Stegostoma tigrinum: one gene and its partner. The protein of the gene in region 2 interacts with the protein of the main gene of each other region in a pairwise test. Links are inferred from orthologs where the notes say so. Each region holds a gene or a part of one and is shown on either strand. Other genes may lie near its edges. The genes, in order: atox1 and protein FAM118A-like.

What was found.
Region 1: the proteins of protein FAM118A-like (region 2) and atox1 interact in binary tests that used the Homo sapiens proteins (3 or more experiments, as listed by UniProt). The two-hybrid records come from large-scale screens. The link is inferred for Stegostoma tigrinum from reciprocal best matches to the Homo sapiens genes FAM118A and ATOX1.

What each region holds. Positions count from the first base shown.
Region 1 is NC_081366.1:16,694,141-16,703,735, reverse strand, and holds the start of atox1 (copper transport protein ATOX1), read right to left. Parts: upstream 3,683-9,595; 5' UTR 3,603-3,682; coding exon 3,597-3,602; intron 412-3,596; coding exon 336-411; intron 1-335. UniProt on the Homo sapiens protein: Binds and deliver cytosolic copper to the copper ATPase proteins. May be important in cellular antioxidant defense.
Region 2 is NC_081371.1:20,274,435-20,283,859, forward strand, and holds the start of protein FAM118A-like, read right to left. Parts: upstream 4,122-9,425; coding exon 4,057-4,121; intron 1-4,056.

The DNA of each region.
Region 1 (9,595 bases), on a different chromosome or scaffold from region 2:
TGCAAAACAGACCGCAAGTTTTCAGGCAGAAACTAGTAAAAGGCAAACTTAGGACTGGTAAAAAATAACCTCCATTCTTGTGTTGTAAGTTATCAATATACAGAACAGATGACTGGGCAGATCAGAAGCAAATACATCAATCTTTTCCAGACCTAATAGTTGCCATAATTGGAGAGACTTCAGGGACATACAAGGTAGGGAAATGAAAGTGGGTCAAATGACCACTTTCTGATGTTGCCCTGACACAATGAAATAACAGAGTTATCAGAATTATTTCTCACACTAAAATTAGCTCTGCAGTTCCCATTATCTCTGATACTATCTTGGAATCTCACCTCCTAATTTATTCAGCACTCTGGTCACAGCGTTAGAGCAGCCTTCACATGTCATGTCGACGAAGAACTCGTGTTTCTGCAAAAGATTCAATGATTTAAAAATACTCAATCAAAATTTTCGTCTTTATTTTTGAATCTAACCAAGGGTGTGCTCCTCACTGTCTCTGGATTTTCCTCTAGTCCTACTTCCTTCAGTAGATATGCTCACTTCACTAATTGTGACCTCTTGAATCACATCAGTTTTAATCATGACATACTTGGTGGCCAAGTCCTGGAATTTCTCAGTTTAACCACTGGGCCTCTTAACTGCTCTCCCTTCCTTAACACAGATCTTTAAACAAAACTTATTAGTCATTCACTAAAAATCACCTGGCATGTACTTCTGTGGCAAATCTTGGATTATAATGCTCTGTTAAAACATTTTACTAAAGGTTTGATAGAAATAAAAATTGCTGTTTTCAGAATCCCAATGATCCGTTATTAAAATTATCAAATTATGCATGTGATGGAGATATTTAAACAAAACGGACACTATATACGTTGTCTCACAAACTCAAAATAACAAGACTGAGGTGGATGAACAAAGAACCAGAGAATTATGGTATAAATGGAAGCCATTTATCACATGAAACATGTCCACGTTTTTGAACAGCCATGTAGTAAGTTGCTTTTCCCCCACTCTTTCCCCTTATCTCTGAAATTTTGTTCTCCTCCAAACACTCATAAAGGTCACTAAGAGAGTTACTACTAAACCATACTCATTATCTTTTCAGGCAGTGGACTCCAAATCCTAATCACTAACTGGCAAAAGAAATGGAGATAACTTTCTATGCAATCACTATAAATCAGTGTCACAACAAGCAGATATTCACCTGCACATCTGCCAATGTGGTATACTGCATCTGCTGTACCCGTTGTGGCCTCCTCTACATCGGGGAAACAAAGCGGAGGCTTGGGGGCCGCTTTGTAGAACACCTACGCTTGGTTTGCAATAAGCAATTGCACCTCCCAGTCGCGAACCATTTCAACTCCCCCTCCCATTCCTTAGACGACATGTCCATCCTGGGCCTCCTGCAGTGCCACAACGATGCCACCCGAAAGTTGCAGGAACAGCAACTCGTATTCCGCTTGGGAACCCTGCAGCCTAATGGTATCAATGTGGATTTCACAAGCTTCAAAATCTCCCCCACCCTACTCATCCCAAAGCCAGCACAGCTCGTGCCCGCCTGCCTAACCTGTTCCTCTCACCTATCCCCTCCTCCTACCTCAAGCCACACCCCCATTTCCTACCTACTAACCTCAACCTGTCCATCCTCCCCGGACTGACCTATCCCCTCCCTACCTCCCCACCTACACTCACCTCTACTGGCTCCATCCCTGCCTCTTTAACTTGTCTGTTTCCTCTCCACCAATCTTCTCCTCTACCCATTTTTGATCCGCCTCCCCCTCCTCCGCCTCCTTTCTGATGACGGATCTAGGCCCGAAATGTCAGCTTTTCTGCTCCTAAGATACTACTTGGCCTGCTGTGTTCATCCAGGTCTACCATTTGGTAGTGGTTCCTTTTCCTTCAAACAGACTCACCCAATCGACCTCTGATAGATCCTGCCTAATAGCTCCAAAACTGGCCCTGCTGCAGTTCAGCACCTTAACCTGCGGACCTGTTCTATCTTTTCCCATAAGTATGAGAGTTATGGTCAATGGACCTAAAGTGCTCTCTGATTGACACTTCAGTCACTTGCCTGACCTTGTTTTCTAAGAGGATTTCCTGTGTTGCACCCTCCCGAGTAGGGCCCTCTAAATATTCACTTAGGAAACTTTCTTGTTCACATCTGTCAAATTTCACCTCATCCAGGCTTTTTACCTTCTGGGTCAATACAGGAGAAAATAAAGTCTCCAATCGGTACTACTCTATTATTCCTACGTGCATCTGCAATCTCTCTACACATCTGCTCCTTTAGTATCCGCTGTCTATTTGGGGGTCTATAACAAGTCACAAAGTGAGCATCCCCTTCTTGTTTCTAAATTCAAACCATTTGGTATCATCTAATGACCCCCTTAAGAATATGTTCTCTAAGCTCTGTTGTTATGTCCTCCCGTATCAAACGGGCAACTCCCCCTCCTCACTTGTACTTCTATCACTCTGCAGCTTCTGTATCCTGGAACATTGAGCTGCCGATCCTGCCTTTCTCTTAGCCATGTTTCTGTTATGACTATAATATCCCAGTCCCCACAGCCAATCCATGCTCTGAGCTCATTTGCCTCATACAAAGGATCCCATGCCACTAAAGTGAACATTTGAATCCCCTGAGACTTCATCAGAACTGACCACCGTACCTACTGAATCAAAGATACCAAAAAAAACTGATCCTGGAAATTTTGAAAAAAAAAACAGAAGTTGCTGGAGAAACTCAGTAAGTCTAGTAGCATCTGGACATAGAAAGCAGAGTTAAACGTTCAAGTTCAGTAACTCTTCTACTAAACACCGAAGGTCTGAAGAAGGGTCATTGGACCCAAAAGTTAAACTTTGTTTGCACAGGTGCTGCTAGACCTGTTGAGTCTTTTCCAGCAACTTCTGTTCTTGAGCTTATCGACTGAATTGCGTAGAGAGAAACATTTTCAAATAGTGCCATGAGACCTTGCACATTCTTGCCAGAGGTGGGACTTTGATGTAACTCTTTGTCTGAAATCAGGAATGCCCATCCTCCAGTGCAGCGCTCCCTCAGTACTGCACCGAAGTACCGGCCCAGATTTTGCATTCAGTTTTTGGAGAGTAACTTACAACCCTGTGATTCACCTCTCCTACCCTCTCTGAGACAAAATCCAAACTGGTCTCAATGCATTCGACAGAAAATGTGTATCAAGTTCTCCCCCCACCCCTCCCCACAAAACCCCAGACCATTTGTTGTCATCAGCCTTGCAAAAAGGTTGTGCCCTAAAAAAAAATTAGCCTCGAAACATCTCTGGGAATGCAAACACTTTCTGCTGCGCCATTTCGCGGGAGCAGCTAGACCGGGGACTCGGCAAGGGTGTAATACGCCTCCTGTAGCCGAACAGCCAGCTGTACTCATAGCCCAGGCGGACGGGCGAGGGAAAGGCCCCAGCTCCGGGGGGGGAAGGATGGTCCAACCGCTAGGAAATACAAACAATCGCTCAGGCCGTACTGATCCAGAGCGCGGGTCCCCGTGACAAGCGCGGTGTTTGCGTGGACCCCACCCCGGGCTTCGAGCCCACACACCCCCACAACTTCCCCCTCCGCCTCACCGCCATGATGACTCCGGGGTCTCCGCCTCTCTGCTCCTGCTCCCAACCTCGTCCACAACCGGCTGTCACCTCGGCGCATGCGCAACTGCCCATTCACCGGCACAAATAGGGCCGCTAGGGGGCGACCGCGGGCCCACCCGCCTGACTCGCAACCCAGCGATCCGCCGCTAGGGGGAACCAGCGATCCGCCGCTAGGGGGAACCAGCGCCCCCACCCCAAAAAAAACCTGGCACGCACCCGAGCAGGCCAAGCAGCATCTCAGGAGCACAAAAGCTGACGTTTCGGGCCTAGACCCTTCATCAGAGAGGGGGATGGGGAGAGGGAACTGGAATAAATAGGGAGAGGGGGGAGGCGGACCGAAGATGGAGAGTAAAGAAGATAGGTGGAGAGAGTATAGGTGGGGAGGTAGGGAGGGGATAGGTCAGTCCAGGGAAGATGGACAGGTCAAGGAGGTGGGATGAGGTTAGTAGGTAGATGGGGGTGCGGCTTGTGGTGGGAGGAAGGGATGGGTGAGAGGAAGCACGGGTTGGGCTGGTTTTGGGATGCAGTGGGTTCTCTCACCCATCCCTTCCTCCCACCTAAAGCTGCACCTCCATCTCCTACCTACTAACCTCATCCCACCTCCTTGACCTGTCCATCTTCCCTGGACTGACCTATCCCCTCTCTACCTCCCCACCTATACTCTCTCCACCTATCTTCTTTTCTCTCCATCTTCGGTCCGCCTCCCCCTCTCTCCCTATTTATTCCAGAACCCTCTCCCCATCCCCCTTTTCTGATGAAGGGTCTAGGCACGAAACGTCAGCTTTTGTGCTCCTGAGATGCTGCTTGGCCTGCTGTGTTCATCCAGCTCCACACTTTGTTATCTTGGATTCTCCAGCATCTGCAGTTCCCATTATCTCTGATGCAACCGAGCGATCCGCCACTAGGGGGAACCCGTGGGCCCACCCGCTGTCTGGCAACCCAGTGATTCGCCGCTACGGGGAGCCCGCGGAGCCTTTGACGTCTCACAAACCGGCGACCTGACACTCCACCCCGACTTGCAACGCAGCCAGCCACCGCTAGGAGGAGCGCCCGGCCCCCCCCAATCCAAACACGCAACGCAGCGATCCCTCACTAGGCGGAGCCCGCGGGCTATACTTCAGACCCACAACTCAATTAGAGGCGAATGTCACCCCCAACCCCCAAACTTCCTGTGCTGCAGTGAAAAAAGTTCCAGCCTAACCTGGCTTATTCCTACAACTGAAACCTTCTATCCTTGGCAACATCCTGGTAAATCTTTTCTGAACCCTCCAGTTTAATAATGTCCTTCCTGTAACAGGGTGGCCACAATTGCACAAAGTATTCCAGACGAGTCCTCAGCAATGTCCTGCACAACCTCAACATACCATTCCCAACTCCTACACTCAATGGTCTGAGCCATGAAGGCAAGCACGCAAATGCCTTCCTAACCACCCTGTCTACCTGTGAAGCAAATTTCAAAGAATTATGTACCTGAACCCCTAAGTCTCTGCTGGACAACACAGCCCAAGGCTTTCCCATTAGTTTTGTAAGTCCCGCCCTTTTTGTTTTAACAAAATGCAATACCTCACATTTATCTAAGATAAACTCCATCTGCCATTCCTCAGCCCATTGACCCAATTGATCAAGACCTCTTTGCAATCTTAGATAACCTTCACTGAGAATCAATGGGTTGTAGTGGATACCTGGGGGACAGCTCATCCACAGAAATGAAAACACTGAAGTCAAGTGAGGGAAGGAAAGAGTCAGATGCAGGTGGAGGTGTGAGAAAGATGGCAATTGGAAGCAAGACATTTTTTTCAAATTCCAGGCAATAGCAGGAAGATACTATTAATGTACCAGAGAAAGACTTGTGGGTGGAAGCCTGAGTAGGGCTGGAACAAGGAGTGTTCCACATACCCCACAAAGAGACAGGCTCGCCAGGGACCCATGCAGGGGTCCATGGCCACATGTTTGACTTGGAGAAAATGAGATGAGTTGAAGGAGAAATTAAGTGAGAACAAGCCCAGCCAAGCGATGGAGGGTGGCAGTAATGGAGGCAATGCAGATCTCTTTTCAAGGTAGAAGCAGAGACCTCACAGCTAATCCTGATGGGGGAATGGATGTGTAGAAGAATTTCTCATCCATAGAGGAAAGGAGGTGGCTAGGGCCAGAAAACTGGAAATCTTGGAACTGACATAACACATCAAAAGACAATTTTTTTGAGTTTCTACAGCATTTTCTGTGTTCTTCTCAGTTTTCCAGCTTCTGCAAAATCTTGCTTTAATGTGGGTGAGTTAGTTAAACATAGAGTTTGTTGTCATTTATGGCTGTGAGCAGTATTAAGACAACACCGCTCGGGGGGAGCTAAAGGAAATATTTCAATGTTCCTTTGTCCTAAGCTGTGTGTTGACCTGTCAGTGCTGGAATGAATCCCAGAGTATGGGTGATTTCCAGAATGTAGGCTTGTTACTATTTGAAGGGACATTGGATTGAGGTTCTAGTTTGGAAGAAAAAATGTTTTTATGGCTCTTCTTTATTGCTTGATGGTGTAAAGATCTGGGGTTGTTTCTCCTCCTGGGGAGGAAACTGGGTTATCCAAGGTACAGGGTCTTAGATTGACTTCAAGGATGTCTTTGCGTCTAGGTTTGGAATGTCCTGTGGTGTGGGTTTCTGTGCCCAGCTGGCTGAAGAATACCACAGGACAATTCCGTGTGTACTGCATAGTTGTTTCAGCAAAGCTGCTTTCTGGTGAACATGTACCTTGCAAAGAAATTTGAGTGTCAGCGATCTTGTCCTACCACTTGATGTTACAGATAGGTCTTATGCAACCAAAGTAGAATGGTCATTCAAAACAGTGGCTCCCATATTCTAAATGGCACAAAGTACTGTTCATCTATCAGCTCTGTGCTAGTTGACCTACATGGATTTCTGTCCTTGCAGCCTTAGAAATTTTAGATTTTTGCCATTGTTTTCAATTATTCAATGACTTTAACCCTATCTCTCTCAATATTTCCCCTCAAGTTCTTCACTTCTCCAATATCTCTCTGTTCCTCCGATTATGGCTACTTCCACATCCCCATTTTTTATCACACCAGCACTGGACCCTAAGCTCTGGAATTCCCACACTACCTTTTTTTCCTATTTATTTGTGGGATGTGAGCATTGCTGGCTGGCAGCATTTCTTGCCCATCAGTAGTTGCCCTTGAGAAGGTGGTGATGAGCTGCCTTCTTGAATCGCTGCGGTCCTCCTTCTGCGGGTTGACCCACAATGCTATCAGGGAGGGAATTCCAGGATGTTGAACCAGCGACAGTGAAGGAACAGCAACACACTTCCACGTCAGGATGGTGAGTTGCTTGGAGAGGAACTTTGAGGTGGTGGTGTTCTCATATATCTGATACCCTTGTCCCTCTAGATGGAAGTGGTGGTGGGTTTGGAAGGTGCTGTCTGATGATCTTTGGTGAATTTCTGCAGTGCATGTTGTAAATAGTATTCACTGCTGCTGCAGGGTGTCGGTGGTGGAGGGAGTGAATGCTTGTGGGTGTAGTGCCAATCAAACGGGCTCGTTTTTCCTGGATGGAGTCAAGCTTCTTGAGTGTTGTTGGGGCTGCACTCATCCTATATCTCTCAACCTTGTTACCATTCCTTCTCTCTTTAAGATGTACCATAAAATTTACTGCTTTGAAGAAGCTTTTGGCCAACATATATGTGGCTTGGCATCAATTTTTGATGACAATGCCTTTATAAAGCAGTTTGGTTTGTTTTAAAATCTAAAAGCACTATATGAATGTAAGTTGTTGTTCTAGATCTTCTTGTGGTGTGAGTGTACTTCTGACTCTTACTGGCTTTAGCTTGATGATGTGTTTGTCATTCTTATTGGACAGCTTGCCAAAGCAATAAGAGTTCACAGGAAATCAGGTCAAAGATTGTTGATTTTCACATATACATAAAGAGAACCATTTACACCTCTAAACTTTATACAAACCATTACAACACATATATCTTACACTATCTGACGAAGGGTCACTAGACTCAAACTGGCCCTGCGTTTCTCCAACATTTTCTGTTCATGTTTCAGATTTCCAGCATCTGCAGTTCTTTGTTTTTATAATATTGTATCATCTACCATTTTCTCACAGATTTCACAGGCATTGTTTATATTTCACTCAGGGCTGTTTTTGTCTGACTGATAGTATAACTCCTACACTCTGTGTGCTGCCTTTGCACAACAAGTGGTTCCTATTTGTTTTTAGAAAATGACTGAAAAGTTAAACTTTATCTAACTTAAACTGATTATACCTCTTCAGCAATGAACATGGCTCAGAACCCCAAAGTATGATGGGCAGTTTCCTTGTAATTGTGTCTTCAGAAGAGGGGTCATACTGCCAAAAATGGCCGCTGATGTAAATGAAGCATTGTTTGGCAATGGAGTGACCCATGGAAAGTCAAACCTAAAGACACAACCTCAAACTATTAATGTTCAAAGCAGGGAAAAGGCAACTGAAAACACATTGGATGATCTCTTGTGGCTACAGAGATAACCAGGCACTGACGAGACCCTGCTCCAGAAAAAGCCACTGTTAGACTTCGTCTAACTTCTAAGTTAGCTTTTTAACTGACTACCCATCCCCCCCCAACTCACCTTGCACGTTCCAACAACACATCTCCCTGATCCTTTACCACTCCCACCCCAGATCCTGACCCAACACCATTTCTTACACCAGAACCCGACAACACTACCCACCCCAGGACTTGATGTCTTTCCAACACCACAATATCCAGTTTTACCCACCCATCCTAAACCACCTTATTTGTCACTTATTTGCGCCTGAGCACCCTACTTGTGTGATAGCCTATCCATCTGTTTATTTGTTACTTGTTGACACCCTATCCCCTACCGTCCTGGCATGCTACCTCGTACTATTTGGCACCCTCTCCACCTGGTGTCCTGTTCCCTAAAAAGCTGGCACCTTACCCTCTGACGCCCTAAGGCCACACATACCTTACGTACTTTCCTTTAGCCAGCAGTGTCAAACTGGCTGTCTGTGATTCTGGATTTTTACATTTCAGAATATGGCACTGACAGCTGAAAAAAGACTTGCCTTCCCCTGACACTGTGAGGTTGGAAGATGGCTCCATATTACTGAAGAAGTCCTGACTGGTATCTCATGTCAGAAATTCTACCATAAAATAAAGTCTGAGTAAAATGATCTGGTGCAAGAGATTACTGCTCCTTGAAAAAGTTGGCCTCTTCTCTTTTTATTTCCTCTCAGCTTCTCAGCCCAGTGGCAAGCCAAAGACATCAGCAAGGTTTACTACCAGAGTCATACAGAACAGAAACAGAGATTTCAATCCAATCAGTCCACGTCATCCATAATTCCAAACTAGACTGGGCCCACCTGCCTGAGCTTGGCCTATATCCCTTCAAACTTTTCTTATTCATGTACTTATTCAATGTCTTTGAAATGCTAAAACTATCCCTGCATCCATGATTTTGCCCTTCATTTTTTTAAAAATTTCTGTGTCACCTTAAAAACTCCTAGTCCTGAAATCCCTTACCCTAGGTGAAAAAGAGCTGCCATCCATCTAATCCGTACCTTTCATGATTTTAAAAACCTCAGTAAACACCCCTCAATCTCCCACACTCCAGTGAAAAAAGCCCGAGCCGATATAGCCTGTCCTATAGCTCACACCTTCCACTCCCAGCAACGTCTTGTAAATCTTGTCTGGACCCTCTCCAGCCTGTTGACACCCTTCCTATAACAAGGCCCCCACAAATGGATGCAGTACTCCAGAAGAGGCCTCACCAACGTTCTGGACAAACTCAACGTGATTTCCCAACGTCTATGCTCAAAAGTCTAAGCAATGAACATAAGCGAGCCAAAAGCCTTTTTAACCATCCTGCCTACATGCAAACTTCTAAGAATTATGTACTTGCTCCCCTAGATCTTTCTGTTCTGCAACACTACCCAAGGCCCTACTTTTGATGGTCGTCTTGCCC
Region 2 (9,425 bases):
ACTTGACTTTGTACGGGAGAATGAACCTTACCAGGTGATCAAAGTTTCTGCGGGAGAACATTTTGGGAACAGTGATCATAATTCAGTCAATTTTAAGATTGTTGTGGATAAGGATAACACTGGTCCTTGGGTGAAAGTACTAAAATTGAGGAAGGCTAATTACAACAGTATTAGGCAGGAATTGGAGAATTAGATCGGGAGCGACTATTTGAGAGTTAACCCACATCTGATATGTGCGAGTCTTTTAAAGGCCATTTGATGAGAGTTCAGAACCAGCATGTTCCTGTGAGGATGAAATACAAGGATGGCAAGATTCAAGCACGATAAATGACAACAGATGTTGAAAGCTTAGTCTAAAAGGGTAAAGAAAGCATAAGTAAGGTTTAAGAAACTGAAATCAAACAAGACCCTTGAGGGAGCAGAAAAGAACTTAAACAAGGAATTAGGAGAACTAGAAAGGGCCATGAAATGGCCTTTGCAAGTAGGAATAAGAATAAGGAGAGTCCAAAGGCATTTTATACATATATTACGAGAAAGAGGCTAAGTGGAGAAAGGGTAGATTCAGTCAAGGAGAAAAGAGTAAACTGGTGCAGAGTAAGAGAAAGTGGGTTACGTCCTTAATGAGTAATTTACATCGGTGTTCACAAGTAGTAAAAGGATGATGGGCAACATTGATGTGCTGGGGTATGTCGATGTTAAGCGGTAGTGTTGGGTAACTTGAAAAACTCCGAGATAGATACGTCCCCACAGCCTTACAGGATTTATCCTATGATACTGACAGAGGCAGGTTAGAAATTGCTGAGGTCTTTGGCTATTTTGTGACCCCACCTATGGCTAATATTCTTCCTTTGTGAAGGACAACGGGGTTACCACATGAAATTATAGATCATTGAGTCTTACATCATTGGTAGGGAAATTACTGGAAAGCAATTCTTAAGGACAGGATTTACTTGCATTTGGGAAAGAGTCGACTTATTAGGGATAGCAATGGCTTTGTGCAGGGGAGATCTTGTCTCTCAAACTTGAGGAGTTCTTTTGTTGAAGTGACAAAGTTGATTGATAAGAATGGGGTAGTGAATGTTGTCAACATGGATGTTACTAAATGTATCAACAAGGTCCTTCATGGTGGGCTGGTCCAGAAGATTAAGTTGCATGGGATCCATGATAATATCGCAAATTGGATACAAAATTGGCTTGGTCAAAGAAGACAAATAATAGTCATGTTTTTGGGGGAGGGGTGGTGGGGGAGCTTTTTATGAGTGGAGTTCTCTGACAGGTGGTGTTTCGCAAGGATCAGTGTTGGGAATTTGGTTGTTTGTAATATATGTAAATAGCTTAGATGAATATGTAGACTGTCCAATTAGTAATTTTGCGGACGTGCAAAATTGGAGTTGTGGACAATGAGGAAGTTTATCAAGGGATACAACCGGCTACAGATCAGTTAGAAAGCTGGGTGAAGAAACGACAGATGGAGTTTAATCTGGAGCAAAAAGACAGTTGCTGGAAAAGCTCAGCAGAACTGGTAGCATCTGTGGAGGAGAAAAAAAAGTTAGCGTTTCGGGTGCGGTGACCTTTCCTCATTTTACAGCATCCGCAGTTCTTTTGGTTCTTATTAGAGTTTAATCTGGACAAGCTGAGGTGATGTATTATGAAAAGTCAATGCAAGAGGAAACTATACAGTAAATAGCAGGACACCCAGGTGCAAAGGGATGTAGAGATCCAAGTCCATAGCTTCCTGAAAGTGATTTTTTTGATCACGGTCACGTTGCTGTTTGTGGAATCTTTTCATGCATAATTCGGCTATGTTTCCTATATTACCAGTTTTGGGAAGAAGTTTTGTTCTGGAAATAATATTGAATCTTCATTAAGATTTGAGATTATAAGGATATTGCTGGGATAAACAGACTATCTTGAATTCAAAACATTTTGCAGGTGCTTGCACTGAAATCTTTATAGCCTTTTTTGTCTAATCCAATACAATTCAATTTTTTTTGTTTAATAAACATGTTACATGGTCAAAGAACACTTGCAGATTCGTATAAATGTGTTCAGCAACTGACTTACATAGTTAAAAAGGTTACAGGTTACCAACCCTGGGATATGACTTGTTGAGCATTAACATCAGCTCGGATCATAAGAGTCTGAAAAAATATGGAGCGTGGGAGGAAGCACGTGAATTATACCTATCAAAAGCATATTCACATTGTCATTTTTTTTCCATATTCACTTTGAAGGCAAGAACAAAATAGTTCTAAACTCAGTAATTTGAGTAACTTGATTTCTCAGCAATTTAAGGGTGGATGCACCAAACTTGCTCACCTGAATTAGCTTATGTTGTAACATATTTCAAGTGAAGATTAAATCTAACTTAAAATGTGACGAACAAATCGTACACCAAGATATCACATTTCCAATTATGACAAGGAAAACTTGACCAAATGGTCATAAATCAACAATGTTTCTCTCTGTCTCCAGTCTTGACATCATATTCAAGTAGTTTAATATCATTTTCAATTGAAAAATTCACACTAAAAAGTAAAGCTTCATCTCAGATCATAAACATCAACACAATACACATATGCTTATGGTGGGCAAGTGGTGACAGTGGCAGTGTTAAATTCAGAGTTCAAATCCACAATAGCTGCTGATAAATTTAAAGTTAATAAATAAATGCGAAATAAAAAAAAACAGTAAAGGTGGCTGTCACAACTATTCATTATTGATTGCTTCAAAGAAAATCTGTCACCCTTACTTTATCCAACCTCATGTAACCCCAGTCCCTCATTAATGTGGCAGGATCTTAACTATGCGAGCCAGCCACTCAGTTCAAAGCTCCCTCTGCATCCCAAAACCAGCCCAGCTTGCCCCAGCCTCCATATCCTGTTCTTTCTCTCACCTATCCCCTCCTCCCAGCTCAAGCCACACCTCCATTTCCTATCTACTAACCTCATCCCACCCCCTTGGCCTGTCCGTCCTCCCCGGACTGACCTATCCCCTCCCTACCTATACTAACCTCTACAGGCTCCATCCCCGCCCCTTTAACTTGTCTGTCTCCTCTCCATCTATCTTCTCCTCCATCCATCTTTGATTCACCTCCCCCTCTCTCCCTATTTATTTCAGAACCCTCTCCCCATTCCCTTTTTCTGATGAAGGTTCTAGGCTCAAAACATCAGCTTTTGTGCTCCTAAGATGCTGCTTGGCCTGCTGTGTTCATCCAGCTCCACACTTTGCTATCTCAGACAACAAAAGCTGGTTTTGCCAGACATGCCCATACCCCAAAAAGGAATTTTTGAAAACTGCTCACATAAAAAAATAATTAACTAGTACAAGAAAAGGCGGTCACCTGATTAATTTCCTTTACGATGTTTAGCTTTAAATAGGGTAGGCAATGGCCTAGCGGTAACATCACTAAACTAAAAATCCAGAGACCTAGTTAGTGTCTTAGGGATCTGGATTTGAATCGTGCCGTAGTAAATGGTAGAATTTGAATTCAATAATAATCTGGAAAGCAGGGCCCATTGGTGATGCTGATGCAGATTGTCAGGAAAAAAACCCATCTGGATCACTAATTACCTTTCGGTAAGGAAATCTACCATCCCTACTTACAGACAAAGGCAACGTGGTTGTTTCTTAACTACCCTCTGGGCACTTAGGGATGTGTAATAAATGCTGGTCTAGCTTTAGATGCCCACAACCCACAAAGGAATGTAAAAAACCTCTTTCACATCATGACAATGCATTCTTAACTCATTATGCAAATTGTTACAAAGAACTCCTGACTTTTCTCCCCCATGCTCAATGTATTAAAATTATTTTGCAGGTTCCTAATTGACTTAATTATTTCCAGAACAAAAAGCTAAGCAACTCTGTTTGTAAAATCTAATTTAGCTTGATCTAATCATTACATCCTTCATTTTTTTTTGACTTTAGTAAAGTCATGCACTACAGACTTTGGCTATCTCACCAAGGAAGATTTATTTTAAATTTTGTGTTCTGCACTAATCATATCACTCCTTTTGCTGTAAGTCATATTCATTTCCATTGTTGGGTATTTACCTGGACTTCTGCTCAAGGTTTTGAGAAGGATGAACTAAATCCATGTGCACCTGAAAAAAAAACATTTTGTTCACATATCAACACAAAACTTAGCCCACTGTCAGTGCTCCAAAATAAAAATACAGACGGTGAAAATTTGAAATCAAAGCAGAAACGTTGCTAACACTCAATGCAGAGAGAGAAAAGGAGAGCGAGCAGAGGAATACATAGAAACATACGGGATTTCTGGAATTGCTTACTTTCAAAGCTTCCTTTCTGGCGTGGGAGGAGGTTATCCCCTTTGCATTCTCAGCTGTTTCTTCTTCTTTCTTTCACCCTCCCACCTAATTCTTCTTCAGTGAATTAGATGTAGAAAAAGGGCTTCTTTGGGGTAAAGGCAATCAGCCATCTCACCTGGTTGGCTAGCTTGTGAAACTTCCAGTTCTTGAACAGGTGCCCTTATTTTCACTAGGTTCAGAGGATGCTCCCCACTTTGTTCAAACAGTTTAAATTAAGACTCTTCTCCCTCTCGCCCATCTAACCTTTTTATGTTTGAAATTTTAACCTTCTCTATCTGATCAGAATGTTTACCAGGGCTACCTTGTCTGTTTTGGTTCTAAACTTAGCTCTGGTTCTCCAAAATCAAACGTGAGGATTGTCCTCTAGCAAACTGAAAATGAGCAATGCCCATAAACTGTTCCAATTTATTTCACTCTGCTCTAAAAACCCATCGGCCTTGACAGTGAACATTTGTTTACACTGTAGTTTACAAGAGACCTTTAATGGCATTACTAAAATTAAATAATCAGGATTGACTCAATCCCTAGATAACAAGGTGTAGAGCCAGATGAACACAGCAGGCAAAGTAGCAGAGGAGCAGGAAAGCTGACATGTCTTCAGAAAGAAGGGTTTAGGCCAGAAACATCAGCTTTCCTGCTCCTCTGATGCTGCTTGGCCTGCTGTGTTCATCTGGCTCTACACCTTGTCATCTCAGATTCTTCAGCATCTGCAGTTCCTACTATCTTTGATTCAATCACTACTTCTGATTACATTCATTCATTTGTGGGTTCAATGCCAGACTCGAGTGCCCAAATATTTGTTCCTGTCGGGAAGAGTGTTCCAAAGACTGACATTTGTGGGGAAAAAATAAGTTGCTTTCTCACTGTCCATTCAAGTGGGCAATCTCGTGCTTCAATGGTAATCCGTAGTTCTAGACTCTCTTGTAAAAGAAAGCATCCTCTCCACATCTCTTCTGTCAGGAAGCCTTATGACTTTTTTTAAAAAGCCAGATTGCTTCTTATTCTGCTAACATTTTAATAGGTATAAGCCTATGCTGTCCAACTGTTCACATCAGCTATTAGTTCAGTAAACCATCTTTGAACTGCTTTCAATGAATGTCATCCTTCTTTAAACAAAGGTGATCAAGAGTACCCCATATAATAAGCATAACTTCCTCCCTTTGTATTTAATTTCCTTGCAATGAATGATAATTGTATTAGCTTTCTTAATTTTCTGTTATAGCATACGTATAGAAGGTTAGGAAAATGGAGTGGAGGATCATTACATCAGCTATGATCTCATGGAATATGTTTCACTAATGAGCCAAATGGTCTAATTTTGATCATACAGCTTATTTTCCTACTGTTTTTGCAGTTCTTGCCAGCTCTCTCTTCTATTCTAATTTTTCCCTCTTTTTGGTCATTATTTCTAAAATATTTCAATCTTCATCCTATCACTTAACTTTGTATCATTGCATATCTTTTGTTTCAATTTGATAACACCCTTAATTTTCTTAGATTGCCAAAAATGTTGTGTCTCTCAGTCTTTGTTTCTCAATGGAAAATATGTTTGTTCAGAGTTTTGAAATATCTCCATAAACGTTTGTCACTTATCTCCTTTCAACCTATTTCCGAGCATTTATTTGCATTTATGAATCCCAGTTCTCAGGATTCTTACATAAATGATATACCTGTATAGTGAAGAAACTATGAATTCTGTTTTATTACACATTGCCCAGTATAAAATTGGCTGCTACCTGAATTGATCTGGAATGTATTAAAAGAAACACTGCCCTGAATACACTATGAGTTCATCGCCCAAACTATTTTTGCTGATTTCATTCTTCCGATCCGCAAGATGATTCAAATTGCCAAGTGGTAACATTTTTCTTACAAGTTTTCATCATGTTTTTATTTTTAATCAGGCCTACAATGTATCTATTGTTATGGCATAAACAATTCCAATAGGTAACTTTTTTTGCTGTTCCTTATTTCCATACAAACCAATTCTAAATCACGTTCCTCCTAAAGTAAAATAATTGCTCACTACTATCCTGATCTCATTCATTTTTTTTAAAAACAGATTTACCCCATTCCTTATATTTAGTGAAGCTCAGGACTCAGATGAGATCAGTTCATAACCTCAACTTGTAGTGGCAGTCACATCATGCTAATCTGTTTCTATTAGTGCCATCATTTCATCCAACCAGTGACAAATGAAGCATGCATTCAGATTAAGCACATTTAATTCTGAAACAAAAAACAAAAATTACTGGAAAAGCTCAACAGGTCTGGCAGCATTTGTGGACAGAAATCAAGAGTTAACATTTTGGGTCCAATGGCAGCTGGGAAAATGTTGGTTTTTATGCAGAAGACAGCGTTGGGCAGGGAGTACAAAGTAAAACAGTAGGTGGAGAGAGAGTCCAGAGAGGAGAGGACAATTGAACCAACAACAGAGTAGATAGCAACCAGGTTATGAGGATGTATAGCTGTTAATAGGGATTGTTCATGGCTAACAATGGGTTATGTGTAATAGTAGACCATGTGACAACAAGGCCTGGTATATGGGGGGTTGGGGTATGGACATGGGAGAGCTTAAGCCCGGAAATTGTTGAACCTGAGTTTCTAGAAGGGTGTAGAGTTCCCAAGCAGAAAAATGAGGTACTGGTCTTCCAGCTTGCACTGTAGAATCCATAAGCTCCACAACTTTGCTGGAGCACTACAGCAAGCCTGAGACAGAGATGTTGGCAGGTACAAGGTTGTGTGTTGAAGTGGCAGACAACTGGAAACTCAGGGTCTGTTTTGCGATAGATGTTCTCCGAAGCAATCACCTAGTCTATGCTTCATTTTGCCATTGGTGACATTGTGAATAGCAAATGGAGTAAACTAGATTAAAGTGCAGGTAAAGCACTGCTTCATATGGAAAGTGCATCTGGGCCCTAAAAACCGTGAAAGGAGGAAGTAAATGGACAGGTGTTACATCTTTTATAGTTGCAGGGGAAAGTGCCATGGGACTGTGGGGGAGAATTTGGGAGTGAAGGAGGAGTGGACCTGGGTGTCTTGGAGGGAATGGTCCCTGAGGAAGGCTAACAAGGGAGGGGAGGGGAGGGGAATGTCTGCCTGGAGATGGTGGTCTTAGTGGCTAATGATCCTCTGGATGTGAATGATGGGGGCTTAGTTGGTACGAATAAGGGAAACCCTACCACGGTTGTGGGAGAGGGGATGAGGGCCGAAGTGTGGGAGATGTGTTAGACCCAACTGAGGGCCTTGTCAACTACGGTGTTCGGGAATCCGCAGTTGAGAAAGAAAGTGGATATTTCAGAGGTACCTATGTCAAAGTTGGCATCATCGGAACAGATGCAATGCAGACAGAGGAATTGGGCGAATGGAATAGAAGCTTGACAGGAATTCTGTCCTTTTACTATTTTTCCAGGTGCACTCTTCCATTTGTACACTCTGTGCCCTCGTGTCACATAGTGAATACAAAAGTCAGGAGATAACGATTACTATATGGAGCATGATTGCCATCCTTCTTTAACAAAGGTGACCAGTCATTGGAAGCAGTTCAGTGAAGGTTTACCAGACAAATATGTGACAATGAATAGGTTGGACAGGCTAGGCTTGTGCTCATTCCCCTGAATAGAACCTTGTGCTATTGCCAAATGATAGTATTTTCCCAAGCATTTTGGTAGCTTTTCGGGGCAGATTTGGCACATATTTTGGAGAGATGATTACTAACCATTTCTTACTTTGGATAGTCTCTTAAAAAAGACAGTTTTTAATTTCTACATAAAGTAGAATCCATAAGAGCATCCAAGCAGGTTTTTTCCTCTTTCTTTCATACATATGTGTAATTTGGCTTTCAAGAATCCCCAATAACTGAGATTTAAATTTTAGTCAATTCATCACTTTTCCTTTCCTATGCGCAATTTAACTTTTCAGTCAGCCTAGTACGAATAATGCAGCATAGTGAACCTCTTAATACTCACACCACCACATTGATGTTAATCCACAGATGGACATACATGGCAAAAACACATGTTCTGGACTAAAAGTTTGTAAAAAAAAAAATTCTCAGATCACCTTTACATTCTATTCACTTGTAAGAATAAAGGCCATTCTTGACAGTCAAAAACATAAAACTCACTTTATCCATATACGTGTGTCGGTTTATCCCTATTCCCTTTTCTGTCCCTGTACAAAAGTCAAAAGATAATTAAAGGTGAGGAAGGTAACTTATCCACTTCAATTCACCTATTCAAAAAGATGTCATTATATGCAAGTATAATAGTGAATTGCTTGTCCATTGATTTGAGTATTTATTTTCAGGAAGTTTATTCTATAATCCACATTTGATCATGTTTTGCATGACAAAATTTCCTAATATGCATTTTAAAGACTATGTTTGTCTAGTATGAACTACCCGAGTCTCTGCAGTACTCAGTTAACCAAACCCAGTAATCCCAGGTCCTGCTCCGTTGAACACAATTCGACTAATACTTGTTCTTTCTTACCTTTTAGTTAGCTGTTTAATCCATTCCTAAAGATTATATTAAATCCCATACATTGAATTTAATTAACTACATGTGGAATTTAGTTCAAAGTTATAGCAAGTACATCAAATTACAATCCAAACTATCATCTCAAATATTTAAGGAGCTCATCTGAAAAGAAGCTTTAAAATCAAAATATTTTTAATTATTCACATATCCTAAATGCAGTCAGGTGCTTTTATTAGGTCTCGATAGAAAGTTTTCCTATGAACTGAACAGCAAGCTGGCAGCTATTTGTTTCTCCTTGTGTATTGAAACAGCTTTGATAATGTCCTCTGCAAGACTCCTTCTGTCTCAAGAGTCATTTTGAGATGATGATTCTATTCAGGGGCTAGAGCCACAGTTTAAATGAGGAGTGCCCCCTGCTTAAATTCTAGAAAAAGAAGGCAGCCACATTTCCCTTTGAAAAGAAGGGCACACACCTAACTCCCTGCATCTCTGTGAAGGGCAAGGACCTGCAACAAAGAGTCCAGGCACCTCATACCCCTTCATTTTTGCCAATATAATACTAAGTTCATGGACACGGCTATAGCACGGAGGCCTGTGTCAATCACTAGCA